Arabidopsis thaliana: one gene and its partner. The protein of the gene in region 1 purifies or fractionates together with the protein of each later gene. This does not show direct contact. Each region holds a gene or a part of one and is shown in the gene's direction. Other genes may lie near its edges. The genes, in order: E1 ALPHA and LTA3.

What was found.
Region 2: the proteins of E1 ALPHA (region 1) and LTA3 purify together in Arabidopsis thaliana (affinity purification with mass spectrometry, with the first as the bait; one large-scale study listed by BioGRID). This does not show direct contact.

Annotation. Positions count from the first base shown.
Region 1 is NC_003070.9:22,047,977-22,056,291, forward strand, and holds E1 ALPHA (pyruvate dehydrogenase complex E1 alpha subunit), read left to right. Parts: upstream 1-3,156; 5' UTR 3,157-3,391; coding exon 3,392-4,070; intron 4,071-4,156; coding exon 4,157-4,236; intron 4,237-4,603; coding exon 4,604-4,681; intron 4,682-5,081; coding exon 5,082-5,177; intron 5,178-5,281; coding exon 5,282-5,407; intron 5,408-5,483; coding exon 5,484-5,549; coding exon of another isoform or gene 5,550-5,561; exon of another isoform or gene 5,562-5,583; intron 5,584-5,639; coding exon 5,640-5,684; 3' UTR 5,685-5,909; downstream 5,910-8,315. Other genes in the region: SNL5 (SIN3-like 5), read left to right, coding at 1-500, 717-1,337, 1,420-1,508, 1,586-1,724, 1,832-1,984, 2,063-2,223, 2,312-2,426, 2,518-2,694; AT1G59910 (Actin-binding FH2 (formin homology 2) family protein), read right to left, coding at 6,191-7,511, 7,608-8,315. UniProt on the Arabidopsis thaliana protein: The pyruvate dehydrogenase complex catalyzes the overall conversion of pyruvate to acetyl-CoA and CO(2).
Region 2 is NC_003074.8:19,356,870-19,367,679, forward strand, and holds LTA3 (Dihydrolipoamide acetyltransferase, long form protein), read left to right. Parts: upstream 1-3,336; 5' UTR 3,337-3,447; coding exon 3,448-3,542; intron 3,543-3,925; coding exon 3,926-3,982; intron 3,983-4,139; coding exon 4,140-4,194; intron 4,195-4,275; coding exon 4,276-4,309; intron 4,310-4,458; coding exon 4,459-4,736; intron 4,737-4,830; coding exon 4,831-4,875; intron 4,876-5,043; coding exon 5,044-5,117; intron 5,118-5,256; coding exon 5,257-5,326; intron 5,327-5,740; coding exon 5,741-5,932; intron 5,933-6,028; coding exon 6,029-6,073; intron 6,074-6,179; coding exon 6,180-6,253; intron 6,254-6,560; coding exon 6,561-6,630; intron 6,631-6,885; coding exon 6,886-7,275; intron 7,276-7,358; coding exon 7,359-7,419; intron 7,420-7,492; coding exon 7,493-7,537; intron 7,538-7,622; coding exon 7,623-7,706; intron 7,707-8,089; coding exon 8,090-8,166; intron 8,167-8,236; coding exon 8,237-8,299; intron 8,300-8,437; coding exon 8,438-8,508; intron 8,509-8,606; and 9 more. Other genes in the region: PHF1 (phosphate transporter traffic facilitator1), read right to left, coding at 1-41; AT3G52210 (S-adenosyl-L-methionine-dependent methyltransferases superfamily protein), read left to right, coding at 10,166-10,267, 10,352-10,430, 10,524-10,618, 10,709-10,780.

The DNA of each region.
Region 1 (8,315 bases):
CGGAGATTAAAGATATCAGTGAGAGAAAGCATAAAGAAGACCTGCTTCGTGCCATTGCTGTTGGAACTAAGCCCTCTTTCACCCCAGATGTGGAGTTCATTTATACTGATACAAAAGTTCATACTGACCTATATAAGCTAATCAAGTATTATTGTGAGGAAATATGTGCTACTGAACAGTCGGATAAAGTAATGAAGCTATGGGTAACCTTTTTGGAGCCCATGTTTGGCGTTCCTTCTAGGTCTGAAACTATTGAGACAATGAAAGATGTTGCAAAGATCGAAGACAACCAAGAGCACCATGATGCAAGTGAGGCAGTGAAGGAAAATACATGTGACGGTTCTATGGCCTCAAACCTTAAACCGTTAACACCTCCAAAAATGCCTAACAAAGAAAACCCAATGATACAAGGAAGCTCTTTTGCGCAAGATTTGCCAGTCAACACAGGAGAAAGCATTCAGCAAGATAAACTGCATGATGTTGCAGCTATAACTAATGAGGTAACCGTATTGTTTCTTCCTGAGTACCTTTGTTCTTGACCTGAGGCCGTATTCACTTTTCACTGAGTAAATATAGTCAAAGGTTCATAAATCTGGACTAGTGGTGGTAGAGCGTATTTTACTGTTGGGCAATAAATGAAAGTTGCTTAAGTTTTCATAATATTCCTGTATGTGAAAAAAGATATTTCCTTGATATTTGTTTTTGTGGTTCTACAGGATAGCCAGCCTTCCAAACTGGTGTCAACCAGAAACGATTTGATAATGGAGGGTGTAGAGAATCGTAGTAGGGTCAGTGATGTATCAATGGGAGGGCATAAGGTCGAGCGAGAAGAGGGTGAATTATCCCCCACTGAAAGTTGCGAGCAAGAAAATTTCGAGGTTTATAAAGAGAATGGGCTCGAGCCTGTGCAGAAACTACCAGATAATGAAATAAGTAATACAGACCGAGAACCCAAAGAGGGTGCATGTGGTACTGAAGCTGTAACAAGGAGCAATGCCCTCCCTGAAGATGATGATAATAAAATAACTCAAAAGTTATCAGAAGGGGATGAAAATGCCTCGAAATTTATTGTCTCAGCAAGCAAGTTTGGTGGCCAAGTTTCTTCCGATGAAGAGCATAAAGGAGCTGAGAGTGAAAATGAGGCTGGAGGGATGGTTAATTCCAACGAGGGTGAAGATGGATCCTTTTTCACATTTTCAGAACGGTATCTGCAACCTGTAAAGCCCCTTGCAAAGCATGTGCCTGGGACACTGCAAGCAAGTGAATGCGACACCCGGAATGATTCTCGAGTTTTCTATGGGAATGATTCACTCTATGTGCTTTTTAGGCTTCATCAAGTAAGTGCTACGAAACAACCTTCTCATGTTCCTCAAATGTCAATTGTCTCAGTCCAAACCGCTAATTCTGCTGATTTTCCAGATGTTGTACGAGAGAATACAATCAGCAAAGATACATTCAGAGAGGAAATGGAAAGCTCCAGATAGCACATCTACTGATTCTTATACCAGGTGGTTTATTTTCTAAGCATCATTGGTACTTTTTAATTGAAAAAATATTATTTCCTAACTGATATTTGAAAGCTTAGGTTCATGGAAGCCCTTTACAATTTACTTGATGGCTCTAGCGACAATACAAAGTTTGAAGATGAATGTCGAGCTATTATCGGAGCACAATCATATGTTCTCTTCACATTGGACAAGCTAGTTCAAAAGTTTGTTAAGCATGTAAGCTTCCATTTTACCTTGTTATCGTCTTGACTCTGCTTCTGTTCTCTCTCCTTTATTTTTGTTTGCTCCGCACTAATCATTTAAGTGGCTTGGACATGCTTCAGCTTCACGCAGTCGCAGCTGATGAGACAGACACCAAGCTTCTGCAGCTATATGCATACGAGAACTACAGAAAACCAGGAAGATTCTTTGATATAGTGTACCATGAGAATGCTCGAGCCCTTCTCCATGATCAGAACATATACAGGATTGAATATGTATGCTTCTCTTGATATGTGTGGATACCTGTTTATATGTTCCCATATACTAATCTGTATTTGCAAATTTCTGTGCAGTCATCTGCCCAAACCCGTCTCGGAATTCAACTTATGAACAGCTGGAATGATCAGCCTGAAGTTACAGCTGTAACAGTGGAACCAGGTTTTGCTAATTATCTGCAGAATGACTTTCTTTCGTTTGTCAGTGATGAAGAGAAACCCGGACTATTTCTGAAAAGGTGAATGAAGCAATGATTAGAGCATAACCTTTTTTCGTCTTCAGTTGTGGTAGTACAGTTAGTAATCACCTTAGCATACTCTTTTCAGGAACAAGGCAAAATTAAGTGGTCCGGGTGAAGAATCTCTAGGGATGTCACGTGCCTTGGAAGGATTGAACATTATCAATGAGGTTGAATGTAAGATAGCTTGCAGTTCTTTCAAGGTAAAATACTTTCTTGTGAATCTCTTGCACTGATAATCTTTTCTCTTTTCACATGTATATATGATTGATGAGAGTTTACAATCTTCATTAGGTCAAGTATGAACCACACACAGCAGATCTTTTATATAGAAGAAAGCAGAAGAAAGCAACACTGAATCCAACTGGACCTGAAAATGTTAAAACCTCTGATAGTAGTGAACTCTCGAGAAAGAAACGAATATCGCGCTTTCACATGAGTCTTAACCGCAGACTTGTCGCCTTGCCTTAACTCAAGAACGCCGTAAGTAACCCTCTTGTCTTTTATTTGCCTGTGGTGATCAATACTGCAAATCATCAATAATCTCTAACTCACGATAAATTGTGCAGGTGTGAAGTTCTTTGCTGAGAATGAGATATGCAAGAATGAGTAGTAGTAGAGAGAGACTAGAGAATAACTGTCTTTGACAAAGATTCTTGCATCATTTTAGGCTCAAAGAGATTCACATGGCAACAACCATAGTTTTTATCTTCTACAGTCTACACTGCAGCTGGAGCCGCCAGTTTTGCTGTATAGTGTTAGAATATCTTTTTTTTTTTTAAGGATGATGCTAAAATTGGATATTTTTAATTCATTCATTGAACAATTATTGAATTTTCCTTCTAATGTTAAATTCTCTTTCAAATTAATAATCTCTTTAATCACATGTTTTATTTATTTATTTTGGTTTATCCATTTGGTTATTTATCTTTAATCACATTTGAGTTTGATTATATAATATGATTTTAAGAGAATATGAATATATATTGACTCTTTTATCACAGGTGTCACGTGACTCACGTGAGGCTGTGTACGGAAAACCTTCTTATCCTCTCAGAGTCTCTTATATTAGGATCGCTATCTACTGCTTCACTGAAATTGTCCTCTCAGTTCCTACGCGAAGTTTTCAACAGATTCGCCGGAGAATCTTCGAATCAACGGCGGAGAAATGGCTCTATCACGCCTCTCATCACGATCCAACATCATCACTCGTCCCTTCTCCGCCGCCTTCAGCCGATTAATCTCAACGGACACAACTCCGATCACAATCGAGACTTCGCTTCCTTTCACAGCTCACTTATGTGATCCACCGTCACGCTCCGTCGAATCATCGAGTCAAGAGCTTCTCGATTTCTTCAGAACCATGGCGTTGATGCGACGTATGGAAATCGCAGCCGATTCGCTTTACAAAGCGAAGCTAATCCGAGGGTTTTGTCATCTCTACGACGGCCAAGAAGCTGTAGCTATAGGCATGGAAGCTGCGATTACAAAGAAAGACGCGATTATTACTGCTTATCGTGATCACTGTATTTTCTTAGGTCGTGGTGGTTCGCTTCATGAGGTTTTCTCAGAGCTTATGGGAAGACAAGCTGGTTGTTCTAAAGGGAAAGGTGGATCTATGCACTTCTATAAGAAGGAATCGTCGTTTTACGGTGGTCATGGGATTGTTGGTGCTCAGGTTCCATTAGGTTGTGGTATTGCTTTTGCTCAGAAGTATAACAAGGAAGAGGCTGTCACATTTGCTTTGTATGGTGATGGTGCTGCGAATCAGGGACAGTTGTTTGAAGCTTTGAATATTTCTGCTCTTTGGGATTTGCCTGCAATTTTGGTCTGCGAGAACAATCACTGTAAGCATTTTTGCTTCTTTCTTTCTTTCTTTCTTTCTTTGTAGGTTTGTTTTGTCGTAGTATCTGATTGAATTTGATCTGTGCAGATGGAATGGGAACTGCTGAATGGAGAGCCGCTAAGAGTCCATCTTACTACAAGCGTGGTGATTATGTTCCTGGACTCAAGGTCAGCTTTTGAATCTTATTTGTAACAAGGATTGATGTGTGAGGCTTGTTAAGATGAGAAAGGGAAGTTTTGATTGGGTAGATGGATTAGTGTCATTTCCTGAATGATATAAGTTTCTTAGTTTCCATATAGAAACAGGTAGAATGCAAGTCTTAAGTAACTTACTACTACTCAGCTTTCATTTATAACCTCTCAGTTTAGAGATGAATGTGACTGTCTTATGGATAATGATTGTCATGAATCTTCTATTGTTAACAGAGATATGGTGTGCATCATTACCTTGTTCTTATTAGGTTTCTTGTAACCTGCATCAAGTTAGCAACTTTCTTTTGAGTTTGACCGGTTGCTGGTTTGTATGGATAAACAGGTAGATGGTATGGATGCATTTGCTGTCAAACAAGCTTGCAAATTTGCTAAGCAGCATGCGTTGGAGAAGGGGCCAATAGTAAGTTTGTATTTTAGTATTATCAGACGTTTTGTTTTTTTCCCCTTTGGTCCTTACTCATCTGGCGCATTTTGTAAATTTGCTATGAGCAATATCTAGCTGTCCTGTAGGACGTGAAGTATTAATCTTTCCTTTTGCATTTTTTAGTTGATATTTACTTCCCTTCAGTTCCTCTTTTTGGACACTGCATTCCAGTAGCTGAATATTGATGGGGTGGCTGGTTCTTTCTGTGCAGTTGCAATAGAAATTACGCTGTATCAGTGTATATCAAAGAAGTGTGTTTTTGATATCGCTGTTGTTCATATAAGTAGTAGCTTTGGTTTCCAATTTATTTTCCTGTGTTTATTCTTTCCTATCATATGGATTACAGAAGCATTAATACATCGTTTCTTCTATACAGATTCTTGAGATGGACACATACAGGTACCACGGTCACTCCATGTCTGATCCTGGGAGCACATACCGTACCCGAGATGAGATATCTGGTGTGAGGCAGGTTCGTTAGTCTCTTTACCTGAAAAATCATTTCTTGGTCGAGGACTCAGCTATTGATGAAATCTCAAAAGTCAAAACATTTATGTGCTACTCTATATGACTCAGGAACGGGATCCAATTGAGAGAATAAAGAAGCTGGTACTATCTCATGACCTAGCAACCGAGAAAGAGCTTAAGGATATGGAGAAGGAAATTAGAAAAGAAGTAGATGACGCCATTGCCAAAGCTAAGGTAAAACAACAGTTACATTACTACTTTCAAAGCGTAAACTCGAGACCCTTATGCGAAAATCTCTGTACCGTTTCAGGATTGCCCAATGCCAGAGCCTTCTGAGCTCTTTACCAATGTGTATGTGAAGGGATTTGGCACCGAGGTACTTCACTAATTAGATATTCATATTGCACCACGCCCCTTGAAACTATAGTTAATCTTTCTTATTGACCCATTTGTTTTCTGTTGGCAGTCATTTGGACCTGACAGAAAAGAAGTCAAAGCTTCCCTTCCATGATCATGGAGCTCTTGTTCGTTAAACTGCCACGTGTCATGAGAAAGTTGGCTGATAGAGAAATCTATGAATATGAATAAAGATCTGATTGTATACTCTCTCTCTCCCCCCCCTTCTGAACTTTAATCTCTCTGTATCTTTGTTTACAAACATAAGGAGAAACAATGTTATTCTTGTGAAGCTTTAGTAGTCTCGTGTTTAATATTCAAGCAATCGAGTTGAGATCTCATTTTGTGCTGCACTCCAAATAATATAACAAATTGAATTACAAACAAAGGCCAGTGGAATGGTTTCTTCTGTTTGTATTCTTCGTCTTTCCCAAAAAAAAAAAAGAATTCAACTTTGGCGTAACCAATCCATGAACCCGAAAAAAAAAAATCAACAAAACAGGTAAAATTGAAAGAACCATCTTCAAAGAACCTAATGAATATTTTTACCAACAAGCTCCCCTATCATTCTGTATATACATAATAACAAATGTAAATGATATTTTTTTGCTTTTCTGGTTATCAAGATTCTGAGTCTGAGTCACTTGAACTGCTGTACCTTGAACTCTCTGACATGAAATTTGGAGGCAGAATTGGAAATCTAACTGCGTTCCTTTGCGGTGCAGCAGCAACGCTCGGAGTTTCTGCTGGTGAACTTGATGCTCCTGCTACTGTTGTTGCAGGTCGTTGTTGCTGTTGTTTCCGTTGATTCCTTGCGATCTCACTACATGCATTATCAACCATCCCTAAGAAATCACGGATTATAACAAACAGTTGAAACAGGTTCCTCTCTTTCAATGCTCCAGCTTGGTAATAGTTTGTAGTTTTCTTCACTAACTCCATTATCCTAAGCTGTTCTTCCGTAATAACTTTCAGTTCTTCCTCCGCAGATTCAAAGAAAGATCTCAGCTTTGTTAAACACCCATCTTCCTTCCCTTTGCTTTGGTCTAAAAGACGTTTTGTTTCTTTCACTCGGGTGCCTAAAGCCAAGGTCGTAGCTACAAACGAATCATAATCAATTCCAGCCGCTTTCTTCACATTAGTGAACTCTGAACTTAAGCCACCTATAATGGGTAAACCCATCTTAATAAATTCAATCTCTTGTTCTTCTCTAGACATATCTGCATTCTCGCCACTACCATTATCACTAGACATCATGTTCTTATTCATTGCAGCTCGCTTTCCTTCAGACCTTACAACTTCTTCAACAACAAAATGAAGTAAGGTAGTTTTCGCATCAACACTCTTCACATCAGACAATTTTCTTAAAGCTGTCAGATTAAAAGCCTGAGCATTTCCCCTCGCGGTTCCAGCGTTCATTCTATTACCTGCTTTCAAGATTGCTTCTAGCAGCTTCATGAACAGCCCACGAGCACGGAGCTCGTTGCACGCGGATTCAAGTGTTAGTAAAGATCCCTTTTGTTGAGCAACCTCAGAGCCGTAGTTAATCTTGAAAAGCATAACGTTGAACCGGTTAAACGCGGAAGGAACTGCTTTTAAGATGTGAAACAGTAGAGAATCTGCATAAGCCAATGTCATCGGTTCACCATCGAAATCTATGATTTCTGTCTGTTCTTCTGGCGTTGGAGCTATTCCTGCAAGCTTCTCAAGGGTATCAGACTCAGCATCATGGCCTTCTGTTAACAAGTCAATGATCTCTTCTTTAGTCATCCCCAAAGATTTAAGCACAATTGCTTTGTTCTGAGATTTCCGAGGATCAAGGATATAAGTCTGATTATGCGGTACACTGTTTGAGACTGTCTGATTCTGCGGTACACTGTTTGATTCACTTGGTTTTCGAGCAACGTATCCAAACAAAGCCTCCATGAGATCACCATCAAAGCTACCCAAGAAACAAATATTATAACCGCATAAGAACTCAAAATCATACAGTACTTAAGAATATCACATTCCACATTATATAGACTTTAATACTTACTTGAAGGAGCCACCATCAATCTTGTGCCACACCATAGAACGGCTTGCATCAGGGTTCATCTTATCCCAATGTAAAGGCTTGAGCTTCGGCTGCGTCGGATCCTCAGTTTTGCCTACGGCCAATGAAGTCTCACCTGACTTTGTTGGTCCTTTTGGATTACCAGGGGGTTTAGGTGGGCCCTTCTTCGACATTGGAGGAGGTGGTGGCGGTCCAGCTCCTTTCTTACCTGGTGGAGGAGGTGGTGGTGGTGCAGCAGGTCCTTTTTTAGGTGGTGGTGGGGGAGGTGGAGCCGCAGCAGATGGTGGAGGTGGTGGTGGTGGTGAAGTTTGGTTTGCTGGACCAGGCGGTGCTGGTGGAGCATTTGCCGTGGTGAATTGACCCGGAGTAAGCGGTGTCGATGCTGACAATGCCGCATTACCGGGCATGTATTGACCCGGAGGAAGCGATACAGGCTGTGTGGATGTCGAAAATGGCGCATTCACCGCAGTGTATTGACCCGGAGGAAGTGGAACAGACGGTGCGGATGTAGACAATTGCGCATTCACCGCCGGGTATTGACCTGGAGGAAGCGGTGTCGATGAAGAAAATGGCGCATTTCCCGCCATGTATTGACCCGGAGGAGGCGGTGTTGATGAAGGAAATGACGCATTTCCCGCCATGTATTGACCCGGAGGAGGCTGTGTTGATGAAGGAAATGACGCATTTCCC
Region 2 (10,810 bases), on another chromosome or scaffold:
ACAACATGTCCACTTTCACGACTCGCTTCTTCAATCTCCATTCGTTGTTGGATTGATTGTTATTAATTTCCTCTTTGGTCTCTCCCTAATTTGGATCCTTAATATATATATAGACAGAAAATTGTTTTTTTTTGTGTGTGTGTGTAGTTGTTGTTCCAGAGTAGAGAAGAGGAAAACAGAAAGTAAAACAAAAACCAAAAAGGAGTTGACTTTGGAAATTGGACAGAGAGATTTTGTTGAGTTATTATATAATGGGATTGAAAAATCTCAGATTTAACAAACGGACATTTGCGGTGGTGGGAAAGGATATTCCTTAAGATCCATGTTCCGATGCCGAATTTAATACAAACAAGTTAGGTCACATCGTGCTTCCGTAATCTATAGCAGACTTTCCCATTGGTGTCAATCTCGTTGTTTAAAAAAAAAAGTAATATTAGAAAAGATTGAACGTAATCTGAATATTAAGAAAAAGGATAAATATGAAAAGATATGATGTAAATATGTAATCGATGCATACTCTTAATTATGCAATGTAATTCTTTTTTTGTGACATTAATACATTATATATCCTTTATCTTATAAAACACAAGTCACTTGGCAAATCATGTTTTGACATGTGGCAAATTTATCAAAAACAAAATCCACAATGTAAAACAAAAATGAATTTTTCGACAAAACTCAAAATAAAATTAAATGTGAAAACAGTGTACAAAATTAAAACATTATCGTCAATTTTCCCACGATCACTCTCAAAAGAAAATAAAAATCAACCCACATATTCTCCATACTCCCACAATTTCTTTTTCTTCTATTCAAACTATGTAACTCTTTTTTTTCAATTAAAACATTCAAACTAACTATTGGGAAACAAAGACAGATACGATCTCAAACCTATATATACAAATCTCGGTATCATCTTTCTATTGTTGATATTGGTTTTTAAAAGAAGGTTGAGAGTAAAATCATTTAGGAGCGAGACCTTCTTTGTAACAAGAGTCTTCAATCTCTAATCAGTTCATATAAGGCAATATGGCCAGCGTATGTTATATTTCTTTTATTTTATTGATTGCGTTTAGATGAGTATATTAATGCTTTCTGTTTTTGAATTATCTTTTATTATGTATGTTTAATATCTTTTTGCTTCATAGATCAACCACTAAAAATAAACAAGCAAACTTGATCGATAGAGGATAAAACACAAACAAAGTAGAAGACTTGAGCAAGAAAAACACCAATGGCAAAGTAGTAGGAGGTTGAAGACGAAGTAGAAGTGTACAACATTAAGACATAAATGATATCATCTATGTATTGAGTCAACTTCACTCTGGTAACTTTTTTTTGTCTATGACTATAATCTATGTTTGTATTGAGTCTTTGAATACCATATGTAATTTTTTATTTTATAGCTTTTGTATGTATTCTAGAAAGCATTGAAGTTGGAAGCTAATTCTCTATATTTGGAAGACTAATAATTTTGTGATATCAACTTCAATTCTCCATTATATATCAAATTATCATCTGAAAAAATAAAATCCACAAATACATGAAACGATATATTTTTCCCTACACGATTATATACTAATCTATTTATAAAATTAATTTTTCATGTATAAATATCGATAATATGTAACATATCATAACATTTAAATTCAAAAAAAGAATGTATCATAACATTAATTTTCGGTGCTATGCACCGGGTATAATACTAGTTACAAATAAAGTATAAAAGGAATTAAACTTTTATATAGATAATTAACACAAACAAAATATTAGAGACGATTTCAAATAAATTATGAGGATATAGATGAGAAAAATACTATATAGAATAACAATAGTAAGAAATTAAAAATAAATAAATCAATTTGTACATATAAATTAGAAAGAAAAATATAGATAAATAATTAAACAATATTAATAGTATCACATAGGTCAATTAAAATTTTATATACAATAGTTAAAGAGTATTATATCTCAAAACTAAGTTTTGATACTGCGTAGAACAAATCATGTTTCAAGCAAAAATGATCAAATTCCTATGATGCTGGAAATGCTTGACGATCCACATGAGACTGGCTATGTGCATGTATGGAGAAAAACGTGTTGTTCGACAACGCGTGCATGCCTTCTTCCACCTAAGTGACGACGCATCACAAAAAGTTATCTAGTAGTGTTAATAGTTCATGTTCCATCTGCCGAAATTACACACAATATAACGTATTCGATTATTTGTTATCCAACAACTTAAACGATTCGACCAACTCACTCAACCTTTTGTCACTAGTTCCAGTCATATATTTCTTATAAATACTCGTTCACTACATCTGTACAGATCGAAAGAATCTCTTGATATATTACAACACACCCATAATTCATAAAGACTAGCTCATATACCTTTGATATATGAGATTTGATCTATATGTCGTTCTCCTTAACTAGATATCGCTAATTGGGCTTGCATTCAACAAGCAACATATATCGCTTATTACATTCGACGATACTCAGCTTCTACATCTTAAGTCTCTCTTTTTTTCTGAGCTCACCATCAAGTATAAGAACACAATTCTACCTCTTATTTGTCTACTCCCAATTTTTTGTTTTTGGTTTTTCACTATTCTGACATCTTATCGTATTATGATTAACGTTAAGAATGTCGTCTCGAAAATCACCTACCTAGCTATTGTTTCAAGATTCGACTCCCATGCGCGTCCCATCAAGAACAAACCATCCAGAAGCATCAACCTCCAACTATTAGAGAATAATGTCCCATTCGCCCCTCGCTGGTCAAATCGCTTCCATTTGATTCACATAAGTCCAACAACAACGATGATCTCTGGTGTACTACTACCAAAACTCAACCTTGAGACAGATTCTCAAAATACTATATGTTCTATTAACTATTTTAACTTGAATCAAGTTGATAATTGTAGAGAGAAATTTTTTGTTCACTTCTTATTAATTTGTAAAACATTTATTTTAAAACCCATTACCGTTAAGCTTTGATACAATGATACATGTTATTTTCTGATTAAAAATGGTTATAAACTTGAACGGTATAAGACTTTAGTGTATAGAGAACAATTTAGAGAATCTGTATTTATGTAACCGCGACCTTTCGGAAACGTAGAAGGTGGTCGCACAAACAAACCAATCAAACCCTTAATCGATGGCACTCTTTTAATGTCTAATAAACTTCGGTTCGTCACTCGACCGGACAATTAAATATGTGATTAAAAGTGTGAATTTCCGGTTCGGTAGAGATTACTGGTATTTGTTAATCCGGGCCGGACCGGGCCGTATCTGAATTATGAACACTTTCCTAATGTCATAGAATCGTTCGTGCCGTCGTCGCTGCGATCTGACCAAAATCAAAAGTGTTACGATTCGGTATCATCGTCTCTCTCATTTGTGATTTTGTCAAACCCTGCTCTCTTTTCTCCAAGTGCTCTCATGGTGCTTCCGCTCTTCCGGCGCGCTGCGATCGCCCGGACTTCCTCGCTTCTCAGAGCTCGTCTTTTCGCTCCTGCCTCCGAATTCCATTCTCGGTACGCTTATTCTCTCTATCTAGTCCCGCCTCTTTCAAAGTATTTTGATGTTGCTCTTCTTCCATGTGTGATCCTTTGCAATTCGATGACTGAACTGTTTCTTAGTTCGATTTCATTTTCCTTTTCCGCAATCATCCATTGACTTTTTTTGGAGTTCTTATTACGTATTGTATAGTGATGTTTAAGAATGCCAAATTTGGTTTTGTTGGAACAATTGAACTATCCATTTTTTCTTATCGAACTGGTAGTACGGGTTTATCTTCTCTAGTTTGTGAGATGTAATTTCCATTTTACGTCACTCGCAGTGAAGAACAAGTGTGTCCTTAAACTGGTGTGATCTCTTTACCTTTCCAATACATTTGACAATGAACTTTCTTATTCAGCTTTTCTAATGGACTATACCACTTGGACGACAAAATTAGTAGCAGTAATGGTGTGAGGTATGTGTTCCATATCACAAATTGAGGACAAGATTTATTTTTATAGAAAAAGTCAGTGTGATCGTAGGCATTCAAAGTTTAAGGTTATAATTTAGTTCGTTTCGTATGTGTTAGATTGTTAGTCTAGTTTGAGATTTTGTCTGTTCTACATTTTCAGGTCTGCCTCTATAGACTTGATTACAAGAATGGATGATAGTTCTCCAAAGCCCATTGTAAGTGAACAGCTAGTACTGTTTCTTTTCTTTTTTCACTTTCATCTATCCGTGTTTCTCACATACATTGTTTTCTTGTAGCTGCGATTTGGCGTGCAAAACTTTTCATCTACAGGTATTCATTGATTGTTATGTCATCTTATGGAATAATGATCTTCATAAATGAGTCAACCAAGCAATTCCATTATAGAATTACTAAACGAGTTGATTATGGGACTTTCATCTGATTTGAGCAACCTGTCGGCAATTGTTAAATTGTTTTAGCCATAAGACTTACCAACACAGATGTTAAGTGGGTGATAAGAATAATTAATGGAAACTTTCGCTTAACTTGTAGAAAAATAGAAATGTTAATTGATGCAGGTGCAAAAACTTCCATATCACTCTTTTCTCTGATGTTTGTGCTTCCATCATACCTTAGATACAGCGACAGGAGATGCAATCAATTATACAAGATTCTTCCATTAAATTATTATTTTCTTTGGGTTGTAGGACCCATATCACAGACGGTTCTTGCAATGCCAGCCTTGTCTCCTACTATGGTAGGAAATTTGACTTCAATCTTGTAAAGAATTTTGGCCTCCTCCAAGACATTTGGACTTCAATCATTGTTTTATGTTTGTTGGGCTTTTGCAGAGTCATGGAAATGTTGTAAAATGGATGAAGAAAGAAGGTGACAAGGTGGGTTATTTCTTATTTTTGGTTGACAAAATTTCAGTCGACTTTTATGATTTTGTCTACTAATGATCATTATACAAGAAAGACGATAAATTGATAATTTAGCTGGCAAAGAAAATATAGAATGTGGAAATTCTCAGTAACAGGTATGAATTTGGTTCTTCCTGACAGGTAGAGGTGGGTGATGTACTATGTGAGATAGAGACAGACAAAGCCACTGTAGAATTTGAGAGTCAAGAGGAAGGGTAATTTTGAAAAAGACGGTTCATGATTTTATGTTTTGATTTGTATTTTTATTTCATTATACCTTGGTAATTCAAATATCTGACTCCCTATAAGTATATGAAAATGTCAATTGGCTTACTATGAAGCATGGTTCTGCAGATTTCTGGCCAAGATTTTAGTCACTGAAGGATCAAAGGATATCCCTGTTAATGAACCGATTGCAATAATGGTAAGCACAGTGGCTGTCTTATACATTTATAGAAACCAAGTATGATCTCACAAAAGGTGATGCATGCATCAACATACGCTTATTAGGAGTTCCTGTTTGTTTATCTAGTCTGCTCTTGGCCTCTTTCACTTTCTTTCGTTTCCTGGGTTTACATTCTGGAAGACTTGACAAATCATAGAGATGTATGGTATTTCGTTGTCAATATTTATTGTGGAAAAATGTCCAAGATCCAATCTCATGCTCTCTTCTTCTAAATATTTCCGTTTGCCATACTGAGTTGTCATGTTATGTCCCCAAACATGATATATCGTAGGGTTTAGGGTGTAGCGTATATTGGTTACAGTTTTGGTCAACATCTTGCTACATAAGGTTGATGGATAAGAGTTTAATCTTATCTATTTAATTGTAACCAAGGTTGAGGAGGAAGACGACATTAAAAACGTTCCTGCTACCATAGAGGGTGGACGAGATGGTAAAGAGGAAACATCAGCTCATCAAGTGATGAAACCTGACGAAAGCACACAACAAAAAAGTTCCATTCAGCCCGATGCATCAGATCTTCCCCCACATGTCGTCTTAGAAATGCCAGCACTTTCTCCTACAATGGTATGAAATTTCATATTTTATGCTAGCTTTTTTTGGAGGAGAAGGCATTCAGCTTTCTATCCTAAGACTCTGAATTATTTGTTTATTGATGTGCAGAACCAAGGTAATATTGCCAAATGGTGGAAAAAAGAGGGTGACAAGGTTAGTTTCTGGTGACCCGATGAGTAAATTGGCATTGTAATTTCACCACAAGAAATCTGATGTTTATGCACTTGCCTGTGTTGATTCTTCTCATTTCATGAAACAGATTGAAGTGGGTGATGTCATAGGTGAGATCGAGACTGACAAAGCCACTCTGGAATTTGAAAGCCTTGAAGAGGGGTATAACTAACATCTTGTCGTCTTATTTCTTTTTCTAGGCAGTATGTTGATGTTCATTCTATATAGCATTCACTATCTGTGGATATTGCTTCTTTTCTTGTTTGGTTAAGTGAGAAGTAAATGTTAATTGCAAAAAGTAAGGTCTCTCCAAGTGTTCCCCCTTGAACTGATAGTGATTTAAAAGGTTGATTTCATGTTTCGTAGTTTTCATATGAGTATGGGCTTCCTCTACAAAAACTGATTTCCTGGATCAAATGAGTGAAGTTATATAATAGATTCTATAACTTGATGGATGACTTTTGTGTAGGTACTTAGCTAAGATTCTAATTCCTGAAGGTTCCAAGGATGTGGCGGTGGGAAAGCCGATTGCCCTAATAGTAAGTCTTTTAGTTCAAAAGTACATTGACTGAATTCTTTATGCCAGAAAACTGTATTACGACTGGTATATTTAATCCATTTGTTTTACTAGCCTGTGTGTAATGCATTTTGTGCATAAATTGGTCGACACTCTTCTAGTTCCATGCTACGTTATATATTGCCTGAAGTAAAAGTTATGCCTGCACAAAAAATCTTTGAAAATACAATTGCTTGCAGATTGGGGGATATAATAAGCTAATCGTTCTTCTCTGTAGGTTGAAGATGCTGAAAGTATTGAAGCCATCAAGTCTTCTTCCGCAGGTAGTTCTGAGGTTGATACAGTTAAAGAAGTCCCTGACAGTGTTGTAGATAAACCTACAGAGAGGAAAGCAGGCTTCACAAAGATCAGTCCTGCTGCAAAGCTATTGATTTTAGAACATGGATTGGAGGCATCATCAATTGAGGCATCGGGTCCCTATGGTACATTATTGAAATCAGACGTTGTGGCCGCAATTGCTTCTGGAAAAGCTTCTAAATCATCTGCGTCTACGAAGAAGAAGCAACCATCAAAGGAGACCCCGTCTAAATCCTCCTCCACATCGAAGCCTTCTGTGACACAGTCAGATAATAATTATGAAGATTTTCCAAATAGTCAAATTCGCAAGGTAAATTAACATATTTATTACTCTCTATGTAGAATGATGAAATATGTCCTGCTGCATTCTGTTTTACTTTCCCCACTTGGCAGATTATAGCAAAACGTTTATTGGAATCAAAACAGAAGATACCCCATTTGTATTTACAATCAGGTTGGTGACTCACAACCTTTGTATTTTCTTTGTGTATTTTATTTGCTGTTTAAGCATTTTATTTTGCCTGCAGATGTTGTATTGGATCCTCTTCTTGCATTTAGAAAAGAACTTCAAGGTTTGTAGACTGCTCTTATCACACATCCTGGTATTTATTAACAACTTGAGAGGCTCAGAGTGAACTGTACTTTCATGATCTACAGAAAACCATGGCGTTAAAGTGTCTGTCAATGACATAGTTATTAAAGCAGTGGCAGTCGCACTGAGGAATGTACGACAAGCTAATGGTGAGAAATTATTTTCTCCTCGTAAATGATTTCATTAAAAATAACTAAACTATGGTTTGTTCCCATCCCTAACTATGCGCTAGATTAAAACCTTAGTTCATCCTCTTTAAGGAAACTCGGCTTCCATGTTGGATTATTCTTGCAATGCCGTTTACCTCCGTTGAGAGTATTTAGTAAAGATGTTTTGAGATTGTAATACTGTAACATTCAATATGACTGGTAATGCATTTTAGACTCGGTTTTAGTCGTTACAAGTAGGACATTTTTTGGTGTGAGTTTGATGTAATGATTTGTGGATTGGAATCGTGTGGTTGTTTTTTCTCTTCTGCTTTCTCAAACCTTTCTTATGGTTGCTTAAAGTTCTCTTTCTCAATGTCTGGCAGCTTTCTGGGATGCTGAGAAAGGAGATATCGTTATGTGTGACAGTGTTGACATATCAATTGCAGTTGCAACTGAGAAGGTACACTTGTGTGTTTGATTTTCTGATCATTTCAACAGTTTATCCCTCATCATCTTGGCATTTTTTGCAGGGCTTAATGACTCCAATTATCAAGAATGCAGACCAGAAATCTATTTCTGCTATTTCCTTAGAGGTAATTTTATTCTCTCTGAAGTTAAACGAATATGGAAGGCTATAGAGGCACATATGTTTGATCAGTTCTTACCATATTCCATGTGTTGTTGATCGCTATAGTTATGAATTTTAATATGTCAAATGATTTTTGGATCAGGTTAAGGAGCTGGCACAAAAGGCTCGATCTGGAAAGCTTGCTCCTCATGAGTTTCAAGGAGGGACATTCAGGTATTCATCATTTTTAAGTTATTAAGCATAGTACGGAATTATCAATCATGTGTAACTTTTCCTACTTAACGAGAAAACCATACTTTATCGTTTTGCAGCATATCAAATCTAGGAATGTATCCTGTGGATAATTTCTGCGCAATCATTAACCCCCCTCAGGTAATCATAGCCTTAACGATGCACCCTGAATCACAGATTGAAGATTAAGTTTTGCTGTTTGTAATTTGTGGTGTAGAGGATTTAGTTTAATATTTATAGAGATGCAGATGTGTTTTTTTGGATAATAAACTTCAGGACTATCAATTGTCTTGCAGGCTGGGATTCTAGCAGTTGGTAGAGGAAACAAAGTGGTTGAGCCAGTTATTGGACTAGATGGTGAGCTAGTAGAATCCTTTTGGGTTTTCAACTAGGGTTGCTATTCTGATCATGGTATGACAAGTTTTCGTCATTGTTTCAGGAATTGAGAAGCCTTCTGTTGTGACAAAAATGAATGTAACGTTATCCGCTGATCATCGGATCTTTGATGGACAAGTTGGAGGTAATGGAACATTCATAAATCCCTTCGTTTCGAGTTTTATGTTATGCTGCTGCCATATTTCACTGTGTTTCTCCTTTGTTACTCATTGCTTTTTCTATGAAACCGGCTTTGTTTCAGCTTCGTTTATGTCTGAATTGCGTTCAAACTTTGAGGATGTTCGAAGACTTCTTCTGTGAGAAAGATCCAACTGTTTACCAAATGAATCTTGGATTACTACATAATAAACCTCGGACCAACCCACGTGCACATCCAGAACCAGAACTGCTGGTCTACATTGTTAACTCTGATCACATGTTTCATTTTTTTCCATTTGGTTCATATACTTACCAAAATTTGTTTTGGTCTTTAACAATTCGTCTTATAGATTGGTAACTTCCTGAGGTATTTTTTGTCTGGTCTGTCCTCTGCAAAATAAATAATTTCAGCTGTCAATCCGCAACTGGTGAAATAATTTAAAAAGTATTTTACCCTCATCAAAATTTTTAAAATGAGATTATTGCCATCTCTGTTCTACCAGATCTTATTGTTGAGCTCCAAGAAACGATTTATAGACTTATAGTGGTTAGTGTTGAATTCATCCGTTAAGTCTTTAACCAAGAGATTACAAAATTTCTATCCAAAATTTAGGGTTTAAGTACCATTACAAAAGAAGGAAATATCAGAGATTTGAAGGTGATGTAGGTTAATCATCTGAAGTAGTCTAATGTCTTGCAAATTGTGTTGTAATTTGTTCTATATATAAAGTTTTTGCATTTTCGGAGAAATAAAGAAAAAAATGATCACAATACATCCGAATTGATAGCATCGCATTCGCATAATAAAAACTTGTAGAATGAAAAAATGAAAAATCACATAATGAAACAAGAAACTATACGCTTACTTATTAGCATAATATGCTTTTATTTATATTTTTAGACGTAAGATCTACATTTTCATGAATCTTATGCATATTTTCTCGATTGGTTCTTGCATAATCGTATTAAAAACCCGTTATTCAACCATTATCCGTGTTACGAATAAAGTATGAAATATAAATGAAATATGGAGGCAACAGAAGAAGAAAAGTTTAAATGTGTGTCAAAATTGTAATTTTCAGAACTTCAGCCGGAGAAGAAAGACATGAGCGGCTTCGTGGTTTCAAAACCGGAGCAGAGCCATCATCGTCTCTTCGATTTCGCAAAGACGGCCATAATCAACATCTTCGCACATCCTTATGCCACTGTATCTAACAAACCCGCTTCCTCTCAACTCCATTTCATTTACAAAGTCTTATCCTTTATGTCTCTCTCTCTGCGTCTTTTCTAGGTTTGCGAATTGTACTGTGGCGGAGCTCCCGAAACCGACAAGTGGGAAGCTGCTCCGATTGGTCACTACATCGGAATTGGTATTAATATACTCTTACTTACATACTCAGTGTTATATCAGTACGGCTTCATCGAAGATTGATAGGTTTGCGTTTTTTTCTATTTGGGGGAAGTAGATACATCTTCTGGGATTTCTTCTGTACGAGAAGCTTGGGAGAGTCAGAGGAAGAATTACGATGTGGAATTCTTTGAAGCTGATCCTTCCAAGGCAAGGCCTTTTTTTGTTTTTCCATGTGTTTCAGCTAAACTAAGTAATCTGGAGCAAAAGTCTTAGTTTTTGCTTCATTTTGTGTCACAGGATGATTTTGAAATCCAGCTACAGAAGAAATTGGAGCAGGCTGATTTAGTTTCTTGTTGGCGCCATCTCCAGGTTTGAGATTTTGTCGTTTGTTTTCTCCGA